Linked DNA regions of Tamandua tetradactyla. The protein of the gene in region 1 interacts with the protein of each later gene in a biochemical or structural test. Links are inferred from orthologs where the notes say so. Each region holds a gene or a part of one and is shown in the gene's direction. Other genes may lie near its edges.

The links.
Region 2: the proteins of UBE2M (region 1) and CAND1 form a complex in vitro, tested with the Homo sapiens proteins (2 studies listed by BioGRID). The link is inferred for Tamandua tetradactyla from reciprocal best matches to the Homo sapiens genes UBE2M and CAND1.
Region 3: the proteins of UBE2M (region 1) and DCUN1D5 form a complex in vitro, tested with the Homo sapiens proteins (3 studies listed by BioGRID). The link is inferred for Tamandua tetradactyla from reciprocal best matches to the Homo sapiens genes UBE2M and DCUN1D5.

The regions. Positions count from the first base shown.
Region 1 is NC_135342.1:120,821-128,758, forward strand, and holds UBE2M (NEDD8-conjugating enzyme Ubc12), read left to right. Parts: upstream 1-4,868; 5' UTR 4,869-4,929; coding exon 4,930-5,038; intron 5,039-5,948; coding exon 5,949-6,043; intron 6,044-6,149; coding exon 6,150-6,188; intron 6,189-6,294; coding exon 6,295-6,398; intron 6,399-6,698; coding exon 6,699-6,762; intron 6,763-6,854; coding exon 6,855-6,995; 3' UTR 6,996-7,381; downstream 7,382-7,938.
Region 2 is NC_135333.1:135,243,163-135,250,657, forward strand, and holds the start of CAND1 (cullin-associated NEDD8-dissociated protein 1), read left to right. Parts: upstream 1-4,403; 5' UTR 4,404-5,140; coding exon 5,141-5,208; intron 5,209-7,495. UniProt on the Homo sapiens protein: Key assembly factor of SCF (SKP1-CUL1-F-box protein) E3 ubiquitin ligase complexes that promotes the exchange of the substrate-recognition F-box subunit in SCF complexes, thereby playing a key role in the cellular repertoire of SCF complexes.
Region 3 is NC_135334.1:38,989,689-38,996,861, forward strand, and holds the start of DCUN1D5 (DCN1-like protein 5), read left to right. Parts: upstream 1-4,149; 5' UTR 4,150-4,491; coding exon 4,492-4,577; exon of another isoform or gene 4,578-5,016; intron 5,017-6,709; coding exon 6,710-6,801; intron 6,802-6,893; exon of another isoform or gene 6,894-6,937; intron 6,938-7,173. UniProt on the Homo sapiens protein: Contributes to the neddylation of all cullins by transferring NEDD8 from N-terminally acetylated NEDD8-conjugating E2s enzyme to different cullin C-terminal domain-RBX complexes which is necessary for the activation of cullin-RING E3 ubiquitin ligases (CRLs).

The DNA.
Region 1 (7,938 bases):
ACACTTGCCTCCTCGCCCATCCTCCCTCTCAGGTGTCTTCAGAGGTTTAAACAAGCAAATTTCAGGTGAGGAATCGCTAAGCATTAGGTTATTAATGAGTAATTAAGAGAGTAAAAAAAGGCATGGAGGTAGGAACTGCAAGGAGCAGCTACATCTCTGGGCTGGAGGAACAAAGGAAAATACTGCAGTTTGGGAGTTCTGATTGAGTCCCCACTGAGCTGAATCTCAGGTCCCTGAGTGGGGTTGGGAGTGGGGGGCACTGATGTCTGGGGCAGGGGCCTCTGGGGTCAGGGGAGGGGCTAGGGCCCTGTATTAGTGAGGGTTCTCTAGAGAAACAACCAACAGGACAAAACTGTAAATATGAGATTTTATAAAGTGTCTCATGCAACTGTTGGGACATAAGAGTCCAAAATCTGTAGGGCAGGATGTGAGCTGGCAGCTCCAATGAAGTTCCTCAATGAATTCCCCAGGAGAGAGGCTGGCTGGCTGAAGAGAGATTCTTCTGAACTCTCATAAAAGCCTTTGGGTGATGAAGCATCACTCATCGCAGGAGACAGTTCCCTTAGGTGACTGCAGATATAATCAGCCATGGATGTAACCAACATGCTCGTGATTTTAAGTCCATGAAACATCTTCACAGCAACAGACAGGCCAGTGCTTTCTTGAACAGACAACTGGGCACCATCATCTGGCCAAGTTCACAGGTGAGCCTGACCATCAAAGACCCAACTCCTGAGGAAGAGACCTAGTCAAGGTTTTCTCTGGATGAGGGGAAAGAGCAGGTGAGGAGCTGGTTCTCAGGGGTCACGGTCCTTTTGGAGACCCAGCAGGGTCTTGGCACTTCTGACAGCTGAGAGCCCAGACTCTCACTTGGATCCACCAAAAGCATACCCAGTTTGGTTCACTGTCAACATCATGCCTGGCTCATGATGTCCTGCAACCTGTACTCCCACTCCAGCTATACTCTCCCCAGGGCTGCCTGGCCAAACTAATTTCCAGGCAAGGACCTGGACCCCACCAGTTTTTCCCAGCCAGCCAAGGTCATTTGAGGTGCAGCAGGAGTCACGAGCTGGCACATGGCAAGCCAGTGCTGGTCTGGAGGTGTGTGTGCATTTGTAAAAATTAGAAGTCATTTCCTAGATTTAAAAGCTGGGAGGTTTTACCCGGTGTTCTAGTCTGCCAAAGTAGGCAGTAGGCAACACACCAGAGATGGATTGGCTTTTAATAAAAGGGGATTTATTTCATTAAAAACGTATAGTTCTTCAGAGGAAAGGCAGCTAACTTTCATCTGAGGTTCTCTCACACAGGAAGGCACAAGGCAATCTCTGCTGGCCTTCTCTCCAGGCCTCTGGGTTCCAACAGCTTTCCTGGGGTGATTCCTTTCTGCATCTCCAAAGTCCTGGGCTGAGAGCCGTGAGTGCTGAGATGAAGTATGCTGAGCTGCTTGGGCTGTGCTGCGTTGACCTTTCTTTTAAGCATCCAGCAAATGAAATCAAAAAAATTCACTGCAGCAGGCACTACCCCTAGCTGACCGCAGATGTAATCAGCAACAGATGAGCTTCACATGCCATTGGTTCACGTCCACAGCAAGAGAACTAGCCCCCTTCACCTAGTCAAGTTGACACCTGAACCTAACCACCACACCTGGAAATCCAGATTCTTATACAATTGTCTTTAATTCCCAGAGGTTTAATTCGCTGAGGCCAGAGGTTCCTGCAGATGCCACACTAGGCCAGAACAGGGAAGGGAGGTCTGGTGCAAGCCTCAATTCACTGGTGGCAGGCTCTTCCCTTCCTGGTCCCTTGCATAGCGCCGCACAGTCTCCCAGATACTGGGAGGTATCCACTAGGAATCCATTCAGCAAAAACCTCACATGAAACAGTGGAAAGCAACTCAGGTAAATGTGGATAGATAACCGCCAGTGTGGATTCCACATCCTGCAGTCTACAAAGCTGAGATCTCTGTGACCCTCAAGGCTTTTCTCTACGCTGTTGTCTCTTCTCCCTCAGCTTCCCTTTCTGCCTCTTTGGCTAGGACCTTGACACAGTCCCCTTCCTACTTATGAGTGCTAGGAACGTGAGTCTTTCATTCTCCCACTCTGTGGGATTGAAGGCAGAATCAGAGAAGGGGTCAGTGCTCAGCAGGGTCCACCCTGAGCCCTAAACTCCAGGTCAAGGATCTCACTGGGTGGGTGTCAGGCTGGCCTCAGATTGGGGGTTTCCAGAAATCTCTTTTGGAGATCTTTGTATTCAAGAGTCAGCCAGGACAGTAGCACAGTTCTTGCCTGCCATGACGGAGACCCGCGTTCGATTCCCGGAGCCTGCCCATGCCAAAAAAAAAAAAAAAAAAAGTCACCCAGGAGTGCAGGTAGACCCTAACACTTTCAGTCACCCCAACACATATGAGGTCAGGGCCTTGGCTTCAGGGAAAGCTGACAAGCCAGGCTGGGCCAGAGGTTTTCCAGAGAGCCCAGGGGTTAGAGAAGGCATGCTCCCATTCCCCATCTGCACATCCCACCTGGTCCAGTTCCCAGCCACTGCCTGAGTCAGGACCAAGCCCACTTCCTATGGCCACTGTGTTGTCCATAAAAGCAAAGTCAGCAGAGTCCCCTGCAGGGGTTCTCCTATGTGACACGGGGGCGGGGGGGGGGTGTGTGTGTGTGATCCCTAAGCTATGTGATCACACCTACTGTCCTCTCCAACTACAAAGGGACTTTCAGGGACCCTGGGCCGGGCTCGGCAGAACAAGAGGGGTAAGGAAGCTAGCCACAGTTTGGGACACTCACACGGGCCTAGGAAGGTCACTTCAGGGCAGGCATGCATGCACAAAAGGGTACATGAACTTTATAAATCCTACATTCCTATAACATAAATTTTTTTTTTAACTCATGACTTCTAATCACAAACAAAAAGAACAAAAAAGTGCCCGTGTTTTAATCATCTTGGTGTTGTGAAGTACTTAAAAGGAAATGTGTTGATACCAGTACACAAAATGTGAAACTTCACACAGGAAAAATGGCAACAAAGAAAGGCATGGAGAAAGACACCAGGCCAAGGGCCCACACCCAGAGCCAAGAGCAGTCCATGGATCCACAAGCCACTTCTTCACCTTCTTGAAGAAACACGGGAAGCAAAGCATGAGCCCCCACTTGAGCGCGATTCTGTCCTCTCCGCCGATGACACCCTGCAAAGCCTCCGCGAAGCTAGGGGTTGAGAGCGTGGGCTCCGCTCACAACGTCAGCAGGGCCGAGGTCAAAATGGCTACTAGGTTTCACACGGCCTCAGCCATAGAAGGAACTCCCCACCCCGTTCACCCAGAGCCGGGTCGGCCAAGGGGTGAGCATGGCAGAGGTGAGGGCGGCCCTCCGAGGTGAGAGCAGCAGACGGCTTGGGGTGGACGGCAGCCGCGCTGTGAAGCGCTGGGCGCTACTTCGGCGAGGTGACGTGACCGGGCCCGGCGCGGATTTATGACCAGTCGGCGGGAGCGGCCCGTGAGCGCACGCCCGCCGCTGGCCCTCCTGGACCAAGGAACTGCGTCTCCCACAGTGCTGCTGGAGGCGGCCGCGTGCTGAGGCGCCACGGTGGGGGATGCGCCGGGCTGCCACGCTCTGACACTGCAGAGCTGAGCACCGCAGCCCGGCCACCCACCCGGGACCCAAGCCCCGCTACCATGACCGCGGGCTCGTTGCCCTAGTGACGGCTTCCTCCCGCCCCCCGAGACCACCGAGCGGTGATTGGACAGGACGCTGAGGCGCTCACGGCGCATGCCCGGAGGCGCGGAAGGCACTCCGAAGGGCTCTGCGCAGGAGCCCCGGCCCCGGCCCAGTCGGCGGGTCCCCAGCATCCACTCCGACTGGCGAGGTCTTTCCGACCATCCCTGTAAATCTCCATGGTGCTTACCACTCTCTGCCACAATAAGTATTTTGTTCGCTAGTTCTCCTCAACAAGAATCTCCAGGAGTGGGGATCTTTGAGTTTGCGATAGAACATTGAGGATGCGCGACCTCGCACTACTGGCAGCGTGCCAAGCCTCGCCCAGGCTCCGGACCGCCGCGATCACTCTGTGACCTCCGGGCACAGAAACCTCGTCTGACCCAAAACCCGCAGCGGCTCTGTACGCGTGTAAGTGGGATGGCCACACAGCGCGCGAGGCGAATCTGCCCCCACTCAAAGATGGTGGCGCCGCCTCCTGCGTGAGCCCTAAAGAGAGCCTCCGGAAGTACCCGCGACGCGTCACGGGCCCGCATGAACGGAAATACCCGAGCCCATCCGACGGAGCCCGAACCCCAAATCCCATTGCTGAGCAACGTGAGCGCGCCGAGGCGGCACGGCGGCAGCTGCGCAGGCGCAGACCACAAGCCGGTGGTGAGGCGCCTAAGCGGGCAGGCGGCGGAAATAGCCGAAGCGGCGGGGCGCCCGAGGCCGTTGCCGATCTCCGCGGCGAGTCCACTGCTGCCCCTGGAGCAGATCCGCCTCGAGGACACGTCGGCCGACAGCGCAGTCACCGCCTCCTCCTCAAATCGTAAGCCACAGCACCTCGCGGAGGGAACGAGTGAGCGAACGACCCGACCGACAGAGCCCGGCGTCCGCAGCTGGGCCTAAAGAGACCTGAGCGGGCGAGAGGGAGGGAGCGGCCGGGCGAGAGGCGGGGCTGTGCGCGGCCCGAAAACAGCCGAGTCGTCCCGAGCACCGCCGAGCGCCGCCGAGCGCGTCCGAGGAACCGGGCCAGGCCGGAGCCGGACTACGGGAGCCGAGGCGGGCCGCGCGGTGGGCGCGGAGCGGCGAGGAGGGCCAGGCGGGCGGCGGCAGCGGCGGAGGAGGAGGCCGCGGCGGCGAGTCCGAGGAGCGGCAGCGGCGCGGGTGGCGGCGGGGGGCCGGGTGACCGGGGTCCCGGGCCCCGCGGCGGCGACGGCAGCGGCGGCGGCGGCAGGATGATCAAGCTGTTCTCGCTGAAGCAGCAGAAGAAGGAGGAGGAGTCGGCGGGCGGCACCAAGGGCAGCAGCAAGAAGGCGTCCGCGGCGCAGCTGCGAATCCAGAAGGGTAGGGGGGTGACGGGTCGGAGGTCAGGGCCTGGCGATAGGGGGTCGGGGGGTGTAATGGGTCTCCGCAGACCTGGGAATTCGGAGGCAGGGCAGGGTGGATTGGGGGGATGAGGGAATTAGGGTGGGCAGTGGGGTAATGCGGGCGTCGAGGGTCAGAGATGGGGGTTAGGATATCAGAAAGGCCAGGTGTCTGGAATTAGGAACCGGAAACCTGAGGCTGAGGGTTGCGGTCCAGATCAGGGACCTGCGAATCTGGAGGACAGACGGGAGCCTGGTTTGGAGGTGACAGGTGGAAGAGGAAAGGATGGTGGGGGCTCGGGATAAGAGATAGGAGTAGGAGAGGAGTTAGGGTATCATAGTGTCGTTCCCAGGAATCTCAGAGACGGGGGCGCTGGGGTAGGCACATCTTGGAGTAAAGCAGAAACCTGGGTGATAGGCAAGAGAAGATGAAATAGCGAGGTTCCAGGATTGGAATGAGGGGATAGTTTACCGTATCAGGGTGAGGGGCAATTACTTTGATTTTGGGTGGATAGGGATATGGAGAATGGAGGTCATGGATGAGAAACATGGTATTTGGAGTGATCAGATGCTAGGGGCCAGGGTTGGGTGTATTCGGGATCAGGAGCACCCCAGTTTTGGGAGTTGAAGATATGAGCTATGTATACAAAAGAGTCAGGGCTTGGTTTAGGTTGGGAGCCAGAAGACACAGCCACATTGGAAGATGCACATTTGGGATGTACTGTGAATCCAGAAGGGCCTGGGGTTTGGGGGCCAGACCCAGCAGGGAGAGGATTGTGGTATGGGACACAACCCTAGACTGGATTCTGGTGGAGAGGCTGTGGGGGCTCTCCTGGTACTTAACGTGATGGCCTTTCTTTCTGTCTACTTTCTCTGCTGTTCAAACCCAGACATAAACGAGCTGAACCTGCCGAAGACGTGTGATATCAGTTTCTCAGATCCAGACGATCTCCTCAACTTCAAGCTGGTCATCTGTCCCGATGAGGTGAGAGACTGCACAGGACAGGTAGACCTGGGATAACCCTACCATGAGGAGGGGCTCTGTTCTGTCCACCAGGCCCTGCTGGACATCTTTTTCTCTCTTCTCCCAGGGCTTCTACAAAAGTGGGAAATTTGTATTCAGTTTTAAGGTGAGTCCTGGGTGGACATGGGTAGCTCCCAGGGCTGAAGAGGGCGCACCTGAGGCTTTAGCCTCCTCTAAGGCACTTACCCACTTCCTCTCTTTTCCTGAGCCAGGTGGGCCAGGGTTACCCACATGACCCCCCCAAGGTGAAGTGCGAGACAATGGTCTATCACCCCAACATCGACCTCGAAGGCAATGTCTGCCTCAACATCCTCAGGTGACGATGCCACCTCTGCTGACTGCTTGTAACGCAGCCCTGCCTGCTTCCTGGCTCCTTGTGACCTCATGGGCTCTCAGTCCATCTACATCCCTTCTCTCCCACACAGTCCATGTACCTTTGTTGCCTCATTCTCATGACATGGTCTTGACTTTCTCTCTGGCCTGTTCTTTGTACACTCCCCCCAGCCTCTCACATACCCACTCTCCTGGGTCTTGGACCCTGACCCTTCAGGCCTCAGGAAGGACTGATGTAGCTGCTAGTTTGCCAGCTCCTGACCCCAGTGTTCTCTGTCCACAGAGAGGACTGGAAGCCAGTCCTTACGATTAACTCCATAATTTATGGCCTGCAGTATCTCTTCTTGGTGAGTAGAGACAGGTTTGGCCAGGAGCTGTGGGGTGGGGGTCAGCCCCTCTGTTTCTAGGGCCTACTGACCTCTACGTGTGCTGGCCACAGGAGCCCAACCCTGAGGATCCCCTGAATAAGGAGGCTGCTGAGGTCCTGCAGAACAACCGGCGGCTGTTTGAGCAGAACGTTCAGCGCTCCATGCGGGGTGGCTACATTGGTTCCACCTACTTTGAGCGCTGTCTGAAATAGGGTCAGCGCTTGCCCTGCCCTGCCAAGGCCACCAGTCTTGGCGTCCCCTGCAAATATTTATTGGGGTCCATGGGTGGGGGCCGGGGGCGGCAGTCAGTAGGGGGGTCCCCTGCCCTGGCCTTGTCTCCCCTCCCTGCCACCCGTCCCTCCCGTTATTTTTTTTTTAACCACCATGTGATTAAGGTCGGCACTGCCTCCCCCGACCCGCTCAGCGATGGGAAATGAATTGGCTTGTCTAGCCCCCCCCCCCGCGCTGGGTGCTATCCAGCCCCCCATTCTGGGCTCCTGGGCAGGTGGATGAGGGGCCTGGGTAGCCGGGGCTCGGCACCCCACCCCTCTGCCACTGGAGGTCCTACCAGGCTATTAAAGGGGAATGTTACAGCATGGCCTTCGCCTCTTCCTTCTATGGGGAACAACACGCGGCCCAGGGGGGCTAGTGGGAGAAGAGTGTTCACGGGTGATATTGGGGTGCCCCGGGCAGGCTGCCCTGTGCCTGGGGCAATCCTGGGTGCAGTGGGAAGACCAGGCCCCAAACCTGAAGCTGACATAAATTTGCAGCGTGCCAGGCAGCTTGGCGAGGAGTCTGTGCCGTCCCCTGCTCTGCTTTACGCTGTGGGTGGGCCTACCGGGAAGGCTTGGTACAACCAGTTCCGGCGGCCTGGGTTTTGGCCCTACGGGGCCTACCGAGGCGAAGGGAGGAACTGAGCCCTCGGGTGGGTAACGGGAAGGAGCTCAGCTTGACACGGTGTGGCATGCGGCGACCGAGACCAGGGACTGGCGCCGCTGGAGCCCTGCAACAGCCTGGGGCTGGCCGCAAGAGGCCGCGGTGCTGCTGCCCATGCGCCCCGCCGCGGTCGACTGAGGCGCCTGCGCACGCGCACTCCTGCCGCCTCCCAGCATTCCGGGCGCGGGTGGGGCTCGTGACGTCAGATCGTTTAATCCG
Region 2 (7,495 bases), on another chromosome or scaffold:
AACTGGATTGGACTTTTAACACTGAAGGGTCTAGAAAGTTAGGGGGTCTAAGATATCACTAAAGGCAATGGAAAATATTTGACAGGGTACCTAATAAACAAAATAACTAGACAACATTTCAAATTGGTAACCCAACAAGTTCAGATAACTCAATGACTCAATTACATAACATTTTCATTGTCCTTTCTTTATGGATATGTATTTCTTAATATTCATCTCACCTCAATTCTACCATAATTAAAATTTTAAATACAATGCATCTATTTAACATCTATTCCTTATTTTCAATATAGAACATAAATAGAAAACTATTCTGATTATATACTTAGGGTGAGAATTTTTCTTAGTTTTGCCTAAAATACAGTAATTTTTTAATATGAAATTTAAGATTTGATCAACATGAAAGGTCTTCAAGGTTAAGGAATATGTCTTATTCACCTTTACATCCCTACTGTACAGTTCAGTGCCTGGCATTGTGTCAGCAGTCAGTAAGTGTTTGTAACTAAGCCAAACTACTGTTTAATATTAAAAGAAACTCACGACATCTTGAAGGATTCAATTTTTCCTGCTCTCTCATCTTAATTTTCTTTTATGACCACTGACTGGAAAAAAAACTCTTGGAGGTTAGCCTTATTCAGACTTATTTCCTTTTGTACCTAAAATTAATTTAGCATTAACAGATCCTTAAGTGAAAGCACTACTCCACTGTTTAATAACATTCTATATTAAGTGATATAAAAATTAAATCTCTAAGTGGTCAAGAATACAAAAAATTAAATACTATTAGCGCCCATTACAAACTTGCCATAACTAAGTACCTGAAAGAAGCAGAAGGGGTTTAAAGATGGTACATACTCTTTTTTTTTAAATTGTAAAGAATAACAAACATATAAATATTGTTGACATAGAACATTCTATACATGGTATACGATCAATATTATCACATAGTTGTGTATTCATCACCATGATCATTTTTTTGAACATCGCATCTCTCCGGCAAAAGAAAGAAAAAAGAAAAAAGAAAAAACTCATACATACCATACCCCTTACCCCTTCCTTTCATTGACCACTAGTATTTCAATCTACTCAATTTATTTTAACCTTTGTTCCCTCTATTATTTATTTTTTATTCAGATTTTTCACTCATCTATCCATACTGTAAATAAAAGGAGCTTCAGACACAAGGTTTTCACAATCACACAGTTACACTGTAAAAGCTATATCATTATACAATCATCTTCAAGAAACATGGCTACTGGAACACAGCTCTACATTTTCAGGCACTTCTCTCTAGCCTCTCTAATACATGATGAACTAAAAAGGGGATATCTATATAATGCATAATGATAACCTCCAGGATAACCTCTCAACTCTGCTTGAAATTCTTAGCCACTGAGTTTATTTTGTCTCATTTCTCTCTTCTTCTTTTTGGTCGAGAAGGTTTTCTCAATCCCTTGATGCTGAGTCCCAGCTCATCCCAGGATTTCTGTCCCATGTTATCAGGGAGGATTGATCCCTGGGAGTCATGTTCCATGTAGAGGGGGAAGACTGAGTTCGTTTGCTGTGTGGGCTTAGAGAGAGAGGCCACATTCGAGCAGCAAAAGAGGTTCTCTGAGAGTGACTCTTAGGTCTAATTTTTTAATTTTTACTTTTTTTTTTTTCTGGGGTGCATGGTCTGGGAATCTAACCCGAGTTTCCCACATGGAAGGCAGGCATTCTAACTACTAAACTACCTATGTATCCTCTCTTAGGCCTAATTTTAAGTAGGTTTAGCCTATCCTTTGCAGGGATAAGTTTCATAGGGGCAAACAACAAGATCCAGGGCTCCGCCTATTGATTTGGTTGTTCCCACTGCTTGCGAGAATATCAGAAATTCTCCAAATAGGGAAGTTGAATATTTCCCTCTTTTCTCACCATTCCCCAAAAGGGAAAAGATGGTACACACTCTTAAAGAACTTATGCTTTAGTGGTAGTGAACTTATAAACACTGTGATTGGTTCAAGACCGTAAAAAGAGGGATAGAGGAGAGGGAACGCCTTCCAGGCTGGGAGAAGAATTCTAGAGTAGCAGTTCGAAGTTTGAGCTATGAAGCAACATTGCTTAGTTTTGAATTCTAATTGAACCTTGTTGGTGACTTTTAGTAAGTTACTTAACCTCTTCATGCCTGATACTTATGCCTTTATACTTAAAATGTATAATTTCATAGAGTTGTTCTGAGGATTAAATAAATTAATACAGTGCTTGATCCATAACTTTTTTTATTATAACTATGTACCGAAGACTTGTAGTTGGGTCTTTAGAGGGACTCAAAACAAACAAAAACAAAAAGATAAAATAAAAAATAAAAAGCTGGTGGGGGCAATTCTTGTATTAGAATAATGGGAGAAAGGTAAAATATAAATGATTAGGGTCAGATGGAGGCACTGATTGCTAAAACATATGGACTTTATTCTGCAGTAGAAAGATATAATGTGTTAAATAGGTAACACTACAAAAACGTTTTGGACAACCCTAAACTGGCTGTGTAGAATGGTTTGGGAATAGGAACAAAAGCCTGAAAGAATATAATAATGATAGCTAACTTTTATTAGATGTTTTTCTGTACCTTTCTAAGTGTGCAAGATGTATTAGGTATAAATATTATTATTGTGTTCCAGGTCAAATGCTAAGGACTTATATGGGATATCTTATTTAACTCTTAAAATAGCTCTGAAAGGGGGGTGCAAGGGAGCTCAGTGGTAGAATTCTCTCCTGTCATGACGGAGATGCGGTTGGATTTCCAGAGCCTTCAAATGCCAAAAAAACAAAAAACCCCCAGCCCTGAAGATTAATTGCCCAATCATTTCCTTAGCTTGAAGATACTGAGGGCTCAGAGAGATTAAAATGAACTACCTAAAATAGCAACCAATCGGCACAAATATTTATATTTAAGTTCTCTGACTCCAAATATATTTCAGATGGAAACTGATAAATGCAAGGATTTACACATGAAAAAGGACAAAAGATGACTTGTGTCTGATTGGATATAGGTTAAAAGGGTTACCACCAGATGCCTAAGATTTTAAGCCTTGGAGTCCACACAAGAAAAATGGCCTGTTTGTGCGTGTGATGTGTATGTACAGCTTATTAAATATTATTTGACTGTTCAATATTATTACTATTGTTTAATATTATTAATATTGTAATTATTAATATTGTTTAGTATATTATTAAGGACTGTTCAGAGCAGAAGGGAATTAATTTGGCTGGAGCACTCAGGAAATGTTTCATTAAAGAAGTCCTAATGATGGTAGACCTAAGTAAAATGAGGAAAGAGCTATGGTATCACCGGGGAGGAAAATAGTATTAAAGTAAAAACATACATGGGGATAGACAAAGGGTAATGAGAGGAATTTAGGTATATAATGTGAGGCCAGATCAGATTTCCTATGTTGTGTTAACTGTCATTGCCTATAACAGTACCTGGCTTTTAGAAACAATAATATTTAACGAATGTAGTTGAAAGAAAGATAAAGAAATGGTAGATTTTATTTGTTTTGACGTACTTAGAAGTAGGGAGCTATTTAAAGGCTTTTTTTTTTAAACAAGAGGAGAAACAACGAGACATCATTTTCCTTCTCCCTTCACTGCCCTCTCTACTTTTTCTTTTAGAAAAGTGTGTCAGCTAGCTCCAATTCTACCTACCTCAAATCCATAACAAAGTTTTAGGTGTTTATCTCTTGGTGACAAAATTTATCTCAAAATCCAAAGTATTAAGTAGATAAAAACTTGGATAATAAAACAAATGATTTGAATATCTAATCTCCGAAGGCTTTTTGTGTATATTTGGGGGACAATAAAATACACAGCTGCAGGATTATCAACTATATAACAACTGACTATAGAAGGTAGTCTTTTAGCTGTTCTGAAAAAAACGGGTAGGCTTCGAATACAATCACCTGTCGTTGGCCCATTAGTTTTAATACGGTCCTGCTTGCTGTAGGGAGGTGCTCCACGATGGCAAGAGGTCAGTGTGTCCAGCAGGCAAGGAGGGCGAGCTGGCGGGCTCAGTGGCCTTTTGAGGATGAGGATATTGTTAGTCGCTAAAGGCCTCTGCTAAGAATACCAGGATTCATGAATCCGTAATGCCCCTTCCCAAACTGCTACAGCCAATTCTGCAAACATCCCTAAACAAGAAAGTCTGTTAGGAGAAACCCGAATTAGCCGCAAAAACCCAGCACGTGGTGATTCAAAGATTCCATCTAGCACTGCTGCCTTGCCAGACTGCAAATCCCAGCAGTTACTCCTCCCACGGAACCCAATTAGGACGCTATAAGTTCCTGCAGCCAATGACACTCTGACCCAGTGCTACCCCGACTGAATTCTGGGATTTGTGGTTTTCACGTGGCATTATTACACCACGATGAAAGGCCACGCGTCAAATCGAAAGGAGAGCTCCCGCTAATAATTCTTTTGTTCTTATCGAGGCTAATATCTTAACTAGCACTAATCTCAAATCTTATGATCCTTAAAAATCGTAAACTTTATTTTCTTAATGCCATACACAAACAGTCTTCAAATTATTTTCAGAGTAGTGCTCGCCTCTCTCCTTTAACCGTTGCTTTAAAGTATCGCGAGAACATCCCAGTTTGCTCGTAGTCATGCCTCCAAAAAGGCCGTTCAAGCGAAGACTGACTTAGACATCAGCCAATAGGAGTGCCCTTTAACTAGCGTCTCTGAAGCGTGCGTGGAGGGGCCTACGTGAACCTTGACCCGGGCTTTCCGTAGCGTCCCGCGTCTGTCACTCCCGCCCCCGCTGGAAAGGAGGCGGGTTTTGGCCGCTTGCTCCACGGAGCGAATTCGCAGAGTGAGAGCCAGGCAGGCCTCAGTGGAAGTGTCTGGATCTCTGGAGCGGCCTTGCTGTATTTCCCCGCCTCTCATGGCCTCGTCCTCCCGCGAGCAGCGCCGTCGTTAGGTCGGCACCGTATCCTTTGCTTCCCTCGGGACAGGCCCACGCTTCGCCGGGGAGGGGGTAGCCTTCCTAGGCGCCTCCCTAGTCAGCGTCGGCGTCGCGTTGCGACCCTGGGAGCGGGAACCGCCGCGAGCGAAAGGAGGAGCCCCAGCAGCAGCAGCGGCGGCGGGCGGGATCGAGGCCGTCAACATGGCGAGCGCCTCGTACCATATTTCCAATTTGTTGGAGAAAATGACATCCAGCGACAAGGACTTCAGGTGAGTCCGAAATCCGTCTCTAAGCCCATCTCAAGGGCCCTCATTCGAGACCTTGGCCTTCTGCGCTGGTCTTGCCGCACCTTTTGGGGCATAACCTGTTTCCTCGTTTTCCCCTAAGTCGGCAGCCTACCCACTCACTGATCCTATCCGGCCCTTTCCTTCCGAATGCCCCCCGTCACTTCACTCCCCCACTTTTCCTTTAGGCCGTTGTCCGTTCTGGCCCTAGGTCCCTTCACTGTACGTCCTCAGTCGTCCCTACCGCATTTCCTGTCTCCGAGACGTAATTCTCACGTCCCAGGTAGCGTGAAGGGGTGAAGACACCTGCTATTGTTGGGGAAGGGGAGTGCTAGGCCTGGAGACTGGGCAGCCTGGCCTATCCGCCGGCCTGCCGGAGGCGCTAGGCCGATCAGCCCGCTTGGGCCCTTGCTATTGCCGGCTCGGGGACCCAGCAGCAGACTCCCTTCTCGGAGGTGTGAATGGACTGGCTAATTCAGCTTGAAAGATGAACTTTTTTAAGTTCTCCGAGGATTGAGTTACATACATATTCTTTAGATTATCTCTCTCGGAGAAGGTGTAAAGAGAGGGGAGGGGATCCAGGGTAGAGGAAACTTTGCTTGTAAGGTTTTCCCGCCAGCATCTCTGTCAGTTTCCCTTGTCAGGTTAAACCTCAGCCTGAACTTGGGTTTTCAGTAGAGTATATTTATATCCAATATCACTGCCGAATGGGTGTATTGCTGAACCCTAAACAGAAAAGTAAACCAAGCAAATGGGTCTTTTTGAAAAAAGAGGGGTTTTCTTATATGAGGTTGGTGAATATGAAATTTTATTATAGAGGTTCTGTTCCAGGGAACTAGAACTGTCGGTTCCAAATTCTTGATAAAATGCATGTTGAAGAATATTCCCGGTTACCTTGGTGTCTTTCTTGCCCTCCATTAATTGTTACATTCCTTTCTTTCCACCTCCCATCCGCTCATAAATTAGTTACTAAATAATTCAATCTAAAAGAGTTTTTTATTTTTTTAATCCTTTAAGTTTTGTTCTCACAGTACTTGGTTGTCGTAATTTGCGTGCATTTTAAAAGAAAGAAAAACTATCTCCAATTAAATATTATGGCTGAAGAGCATATACCTGAAACATGCTTAAATCTTATCCAAAGGAAGGAAATTTTCTGTTTTGTTCAAGTAGAACCGTGAAAAAAAGCAGTGATTGCGTTCCTAATTAAATTGATGAACTGGTGTAGTAAAGTGACCAAAGAAGTTCATACAGTTTGGTTCTGTGGCTTCAAAATCAAATATGGTTTTTAAAGAGTTTGGCTAACTGAAATTTTTTAAGTATTGTATTTGAAACTTGGGAAGACTCGTTTGCTAATACTAAATATTTTAGTGCTTTGACTATTTGGAAGTGACTTGATTATTTTGTAATATTAGATATGTGTAGCTCTACAGCAGAAGCCTAAAGGGAGAAAGATAAGTTTTTTAAAAAAATATTAAAATGCTGTTTGATTTCCTTCGGAGTTTTTCTTGCTCCCTATCTAAATAAACATTTGCACAGAACGTATATAACTAATTTATTTAACATATGTGGTGTGATTTTCCACCGTTTTCTGTCAGTTTGGCTCAGCCTGTAAAAGAGCTAAGTTTCATCCTGATTATAGTCAGTTTCTGTAGAAAGGTAGTCAAGTATTTGGTAACTTGCTTAGAAAGACTAAAGAAATTACATGATGGGGTGATACTGCATAGGTGATTATGTACTGGGAAGCTTCTTTAAATAACTTCTTAAACTTCAGGTAAAGATTTATACATGCTTGTTTTTATTTTATAAACTCTATGAAAAAATATTAATCCTCTGATACTAAGTTATATTATAGTCAGTGCTAAAATTAAAATGGTTTATCACCCAATCTGGGCTTTAATGATTCAAAACATTTCTTAGAAGATATGTTATTCATCTAAAATTATATCGACATATTTCGAAGAGTTGCTGAATATTGTAGAAAATGTTTTTAGGAAAGGTAAATAACTTCCAGTAATTTGGCATCATTATCATTTTTATTAACACTTTTTAAAAGACTTTAAAAAAAACTCTAGCCATTCATTTAACAGACAAATCATTGGAATTAAAGTGCTGTGTATATTAAACTACAGACATTTAAGGATAAACTAAAATGGTGAACATTTAAAGACAAGTATTTCTAGGATTTTCTGCATAATTTCAGTACAGGCATTTGTTTTAACATTTTTTTCATAAGTGACGTATTTATTTATTTGGTGTAGACATCACAATTTGT
Region 3 (7,173 bases), on another chromosome or scaffold:
ATATTATCATCTATTTTCAACACCCTGCAATATTGACACTCCTTTTCCTCATGCAAAAACATTTTTAAATGTGTACATTTAGTCACTATCATTATACACTCTAGGCATTCCTAGATTATACCATCCCAGTCTTTATTGTCTATCTTTCCTACTGATTTCATTTGTGCCCCCAGGCCTCCTCCCTCTACCATTCTCACATTCAACTTCATTCAGTGTTCTAACATTATTGTATTACAGTTAGGTAGTATTGTGTTATCGGCTTCTGAATTTTTACAATCAGCCCTGTTGCACAATCTGTACCCCTTCAGTTCCATAACCCAATATCTACCCTATCTCATCTCCTGATGATCTCTGTTCTTAATTGAAATTCTCCAAGTTCATTCATTAATGTTAGTTCATATCAGTGAGACCGTACAGTATTTGTCCTTTTTGTTTCTGGCTAATCTCACTCAGCATAATGTCCTTAAGGTCCATCCATGTTGCTACATACTTCATAACTTTATTCTGTCTTACAGCTGCATACTATTCCATCATATGTATATACCACAGCTTGTTTAGCCACTTGTCTGTTGATGGACATTTTGGCTGTTTCTATCTCTTCACAATTGCAAATAATGCTGCTATAAACACTGGCGTGCAAATGTCCATTTGTGATAGATGGTTATTTCTTAGTTGTTTCTTTTTCCACATCTTTCTATGTAATAGCAGGTTAAGATGAAAGACAAAGATAAAGGAAGTTGCATGCCTTCCTTAAAGTCACTGAATGTTTCTGGATCTGAAACTAGAACACATTTGTCTCTGCTTATGGTAAATGTTTCATTTCTCCCTTTTCTTCCTCTTATTTTCATTAAAAAAATTCTACTACACAACAAAGAACCACAATACCCTGTCATAGTTTGTTTCTCTACTATAGGCAGTTTTTTTCATGGAAAATAATGTACTATCCATAAGTTGGCAAACAGTAAAAAAAGATTGAAACACCCTAACTAAACATTTCTGTTCTACTCACATGTGGTTATAATGTCAAAATGCCCCTTTTGTGAGAGTAATTGGGATGATGGAATGCTACTTTTTGAGAATGGAGTTATGATGGTGACAGTAGTACTCACCATGGAAGGTAATGAAGAGATGGTGGGCATGTTAGTTATGATGCTTGAGATTGTCATCCCTTAGATACAATGACAAGCATAGAATATTGAGCACTATTTTTCATTCATAAAATTCTCTTAAACACAGATAGTTTACATATATTCCCTCCTCCAACCTGTAAGCTCCATGAAGGCAAGAGTCACATCACCTAAACCTAGCACAGTTCCTGTTTAAAGTGGTCATTACATAGTGTTTAAATAACAGATTGAGTGAATGAAACCATACATAGATTCAACACTTTGTCTTTTATTTTTTTTTTCTTTAATTCTGTAGAAGCAAGTAGGCTCTTATCTAGTCACTGCTTTCAGCTCAATATCCAGAATCTCCAGGAGGGTGGGGTCTTCTTCTTTAGGCCTAAAAGTGATTCCTTATAACCCAGTGTTCTAGTTTGCAAGCTGCCAAAATATGATATATGAGAAACAGAACAGCTTTTTTAAAGGGGGATTTATTAAATTTTAAGTTTATAGTTCTAAGCCCGTGAAAACGTTCAAATTAAAGCAAGGCTACAGAAATGTCCAATCTAAGGCATCCAGGGAAAGAAAACTTTGTTCAAAAAGGCCAATGACATTCAGGGTTTCTCAACTGGAAAGCAACATGGCGACATTTGCTAGCTTTTTCTCCAGGTTTCTTGTTTCATGAAGATCCCCAGGGAGTGTTCTTCTTCACCTTCATAGGTCTCTGGCTGTGTGGGCTCTTGCAGCTGTCATGGCTCTGAAGCTTTTTCCAAAATGTTACCTCTTTTAAAGGATTCCAATAACTAATCAAGACCCATCTGGAATGGGGGTAGTCACATCTCCCTCTAATCAAAGGTTAAGTACCCCCCATTGGGTGTGTCACATCTCTGAAGAGATAATCTACTCAAGTTTCCAACCTACAACCTTTTAATCTTTTAAAAGGGAGTAAAAGAAAGGCTGCCTCCACAAGATGGATCAGGGTTAAAATATGGCTTTTCTAGGGTACATAATCCTTTCAAACCAGCACACCTTGTGGCCTATGATTTAAGAGACAATTATCTGCTTCCCATTCCCACCCAATGTTCAATGGTGGAGAAGGGGTATAATAATCACAATAAATGTTTCCATTTAGAAAATAAAACAGAAGATGTACAATAGTCATGGGTCCATTACAATGTTGGTATGCAGCCCAGCAGGCATTAGGAAAGTCCCTAATTATATACTGATTCTGCTTTCCAGAAGGATAATCCTTGTCTGTTGTCCTCTGAGGTCCTTGTCTCCAAACTTTTGCATTTTTTTCCTTTTCTTTTCTCCTCCTTAGAAAAAGGGGTCCATTTAGCTTTTGCAGCTCACTTCTTGAAGAAATAAGCTTGGTTTATCTACTATTGATTTGTTGCTTCACTTGTTTTGCTTTGTTTGACCTGGTTTGTACTTTCTATATTAACTTTATTCAGGAATAATATTTATACAATAAAGGACAAACATTTTTAAGTATATAATTCAATGTTTTGACAATTGTACATACCACCAGGTCAATCAAGAGAGAGACTATGTCCACTGTCCAAAAAGTTTTTCTGTGCCTCTTTGCAATCAATTTTGTCCCCCACCTCTACTCCATTCCATGTCCCACACAGCACTAATATCCTTTCTGTCACTACAGACAGGTTTTCCAAGTTTGGAATTTCATCAAATATCCAGCCAGTATTGAAATTTCAAATTGTCAGATAAATGGCATAATTTTGTTTATATTGCTTATTTGAAAAAAATATTCAAATAAGAATCACACATTGAAAATGACTGACGTTTAATTCTTTTAATTTCCTTCACCTACCCCCGCCTCTAATAATCTGTTAAAGAATCTTAGTAATTTATCCTGTAGACTTTTTGGACAATCTAGATTTTGTTAATTGCATCTAGTGATGTTATTTAATATGTTTCTTTTTCTTCTACTTTCTGTAGGTGTAGCTATATTTAGACATTTGATCTGATTCTGTTTAGTGTATTCTTAAGTGGGTTAACATTCTCAGTTGTTAAATAACCAATACAAACAAAATAGTAAATTTATTCATTCATAAACTACAAATTCTATGGCATATCATGGATTTACAGCTCATATCATAAAACCATGTTATGGCTTTTTGTCTTTCTGCTGGACGTTGAGCTTTTCTAAAAGTTTTTGTTCTTTCCCTACAAACTCTCAGCTCTAACGCCATAATATGCTTCCTGATGTCAATTAGTGTCAGTTAGTACTAAATGGCTTTGCTTTGGTCACGTACCCATTCTGAACCAATTACTGGCATTAAGATAATATGACATTTTGACTGACAGATTAGGGTGCTAAGGTTGAGGCAGTCTCACCAGAACAACCACATTAACTGTTGCTGAATTTAAAGATCTTTTAGTCCTCTGCCATCATCACAGATAGCATACAGAGGTGAATTTATTTTACACATATATTGACTGAAAAGCTTCTACTATACAATCTTTATAGACAATAAATCCTATTAATGAACAGGATTTCCACGAAAAAGGAGGTGGCGAAATTAGTGCGTTTTGGACAGCGAGGCGTTGGGGGAAGCCCCATAGAATTTTCCCCCGAATCCTCTCTACCAAGTTTGCTACGTTTTAGCACCTACTGTCTTTAAACTGTGGGTGGAGGTCCGTGAAAAGAGAAATTGTAGAGTCACGTTTTATTCCAGGAGAAAGTGGTAAGTGGAGGTCCGGGACATTAACAGTTAACGTGAGGTTACCATATGAAATATCTCTAAAGGGAAACTTGGTCTATTTTACCACATTACTTTTAACGCCAACCGCAGAGTATTAACCGTTTCATAAAACATCTCCTGGTAGGATGATGACTCCTACCATTAGAACGGTTTGGTAACTTCACGATAAAGGTCAGAATACCCTAGGAAACATGCACTCACTTGGCCAACACAACCCGACTCCTCCGCTAGCTGCAATCTGACCGCGTTGATCTTCCTCTACTGCCCAAAGTTCCGGCCTCCAGAGCCACGCCCCGCTCCGCGACCGGCTTTGTGGTAACGTCACTTCCGGCCCCCAGAGATTCGTATCCGGGTCATGTTGAGCTGCTTGCTCTCGGAATCCGTGACTGGTTGAGGTGTTGTGCTGTCCCCGTATCTCCTCCCGGTGAAACCGAACCGCAGAGTTTATCGGCTAAGAGCGACCACTGTCCCGGGCAGGGAAGGACGAGGAAGAGACCTGGGAGCGAGCGGCGGCCGGGCTGGGTCGTGCCGGCGCGGGTTGGCGACTCTGCTCCTCCGCCTGCTGCTGTCTTTGGGAACCCGGTGCCAGCGCTGAGGGGTCTCCGGTTTACAACGACCCGCTTCCCCGGCTCCCCTGGCCGCCCTACCGGGGAGGGCGGAAGATGCCGGTGAAGAAGAAGAGAAAATCCCCCGGGGTGGCAGCGGCAGTAGCGGAAGACGGAGGCCTCAAGAAGTGTAAAATCTCCAGGTACCACCTCCCCCCACGGCTGAAGCTTTCCTCCTTCCTCCTTTGCTGGAGAGCAGGAGGGGAAGGAGGCGGGCCCGGTTTCCGGGGCTGCGGCGCGGGTGAAGTGAGTCCCCTCTGATTCACCTAGGTAGTGGCTTCAGAACGCCGCGAGTCTCCGTTCCCAACCTCGTGTTCGCTAGTGTTGCGCTCTGGCGCTCGTAGAAGGACTAGAAGAATCACCCCGCATTAGAGTCTAAGGGCCCTGGAGGGTGGAAAACAGGGTCGCGTATTTCTGTAAATTGCCCTTTTTCATCCTGTCCCCTACTCTTTAACCCTTCCCTCACCTTTTTCCAGCTTTAGAAGTGGGTACAGATTCCCAGAAGGATCATATCTAGAATGTCTGTACAGTGTTTGAAGAAAGGACCGGAGCGTGAGGATCTTGACAACTGCCTTGGGAATGGTAGAAAAGAAAACTCTATGCTATAATTGGCCTTCACATTTAATATTTAGAGTGGCCTAACCCGGTCGTAGCAGGCGGCTTGCACCTGTGCCAAGTTCCTATCTGCAGAGTTTAGAAAGCCCTGCATGGTCTTTGTTGTCTAGCATTCAGGACGCTGCCAGCTCTCAATATAAATATTAATAATTATCTGGGAACTTATTGTACTCTGTGTCCTGTTGGAGGAAAAGACCAATCAGAACCGTAGTTACAGCTTTTTTATCCTATTGTAGCTTATCATTGAGGCATCACAGCAGTATGTATGCTGCAAAAAACTTGGAATTTAGGTGTGAGAAACGCTCTTTTTAATCCCCTTATTGAGTGTTTTTTACTATACGAATGGTTGGCATTCAGTGTAACAATGTCAGATGCTACCATTAAGAGAAAGACAGTAGTCAGTATTGGAAAGTGGAAATAATAGAGCTCTCCATAAAGAGGGATCTGTTGCTTAAATATGATTATTCCTTCGCTGTTAGTCTGTAAGATGATGTTTTTCTTCTTACATCATTTGGTACCTCACACTGAAATCTCATATGGTTACTTTACTAGCTCATGTTTATAAAACATATGCAAATTAGTTTTTTATTACCTTAACATGTGGCCATGTTAAATATATAAAGTATAAAAGTTAATTAGGTAATTGCATTTTCAAATGTTCAAAAATGCTGTGATTTTGCGCAGTAACAAGATGCAACCAATGGTAACATAGTAAATCAATAATTCTTTAAGTTAGCTGGGAATCACTGATTTGAAAAAATGAACACATTTTTAAAATTTTAATTAAGTACATTAAAATAGCTGAGCAGTCGATATTATTAGAGCTCAGGTGATACTTTGCTCTATCAATTAAATATTTAAATATGGTTCCTTTATTTTGCATTACTCTATTGCACAAGTTTTAGCATTCTGTCATTTGGGCAGTTTAATTATTGGAATTCCTTGAGAAAATATTTTCTGAAGTCGTTTACATCCTAGAGGTCATTTATGAACTTCCCAACTTGTAATGATCAAAATATGGCTTAAAAATAGACACAGGGATTTAATAGTTTTGGCCCAATTATTTGGACTACTGCTATCTTTTAGAGATTTTTGTTGTTTTTGTTTTAATCTGTGGAACCTGATTATACCCATATATCCTAAATCATCTTTTATTTTAAAAATTTATAAGTTCGGTAGACATTAAACAACTCTTAATGTATAATTTTATTTTGCAGTATTGAGTTAAAGTATCAAAATATGCTTTGTAAGATTTTGTTTTCAAAATGCTTGGAGTATGTCTGTTATATAGAAAAGTAATATTTGTGCAAATCAGTGGCAGAATCTGGATAAAGATTTGTACTTTCTCACCTACCACTTTTTGCATTGGGACCATTAGGTTGAGCTTCTCTGTAGTCCTTTGAAATCTGGGGAAATAATTTTAGTTGATATTTTTGGAATGTGATAATGAGCAAAGTAGCATTTGGGTTTTGTAAAGCCAGAAATTCTTATTTATAGACTACTGTTTGAAATTGCAAATACTTAAGAATTCCAGTTTTTTTCCTATAATGCCAACTGTAAAAAAACAAACTTTGTTTAGTTTGAATTGAAGTAGTTGAACTTAGCTTTGCATGAAGAGTTGAGATTTGATAAAAATCTTGGGCATTTGTGTGTTTTTAAGCTATTGCAGATCCCAACCCCCTGCTAGACTAATAGGTGGAGAGGAACATTTTTCAAGCAAGAAGTGCCTGGCTTGGTTTTATGAGTATGCAGGTAATGAAATTAATGTAAGAAGATGTCAATCATGTGCTTTTAAAAAGTTTTTGGCTCTTTCATTTAATAAATTATTTATTGCAGGCCTGCTGTGTGTTAGTGCTGTGTGCTGGAATCAGGGTCAAGACTGAGAATTGTGGGTATACTAAGAATTTGGTGCCTTTTTAAGCTGACATTTCTTTATATAGTCTGTATATATTTAGTGGGAGAGGAATAGCTCCTTTATTTTGTAAACAGAGAAATAGTCATTTATTACTTTACATTCATTGGCTAAACTGGTATTCTGGGAAACATAAAATAGATAGTAAAGCATTTTCTACTTTACATACTTGTTATTTTCTCCATTCAATATTCTTTTGAAATTTTTCTGAA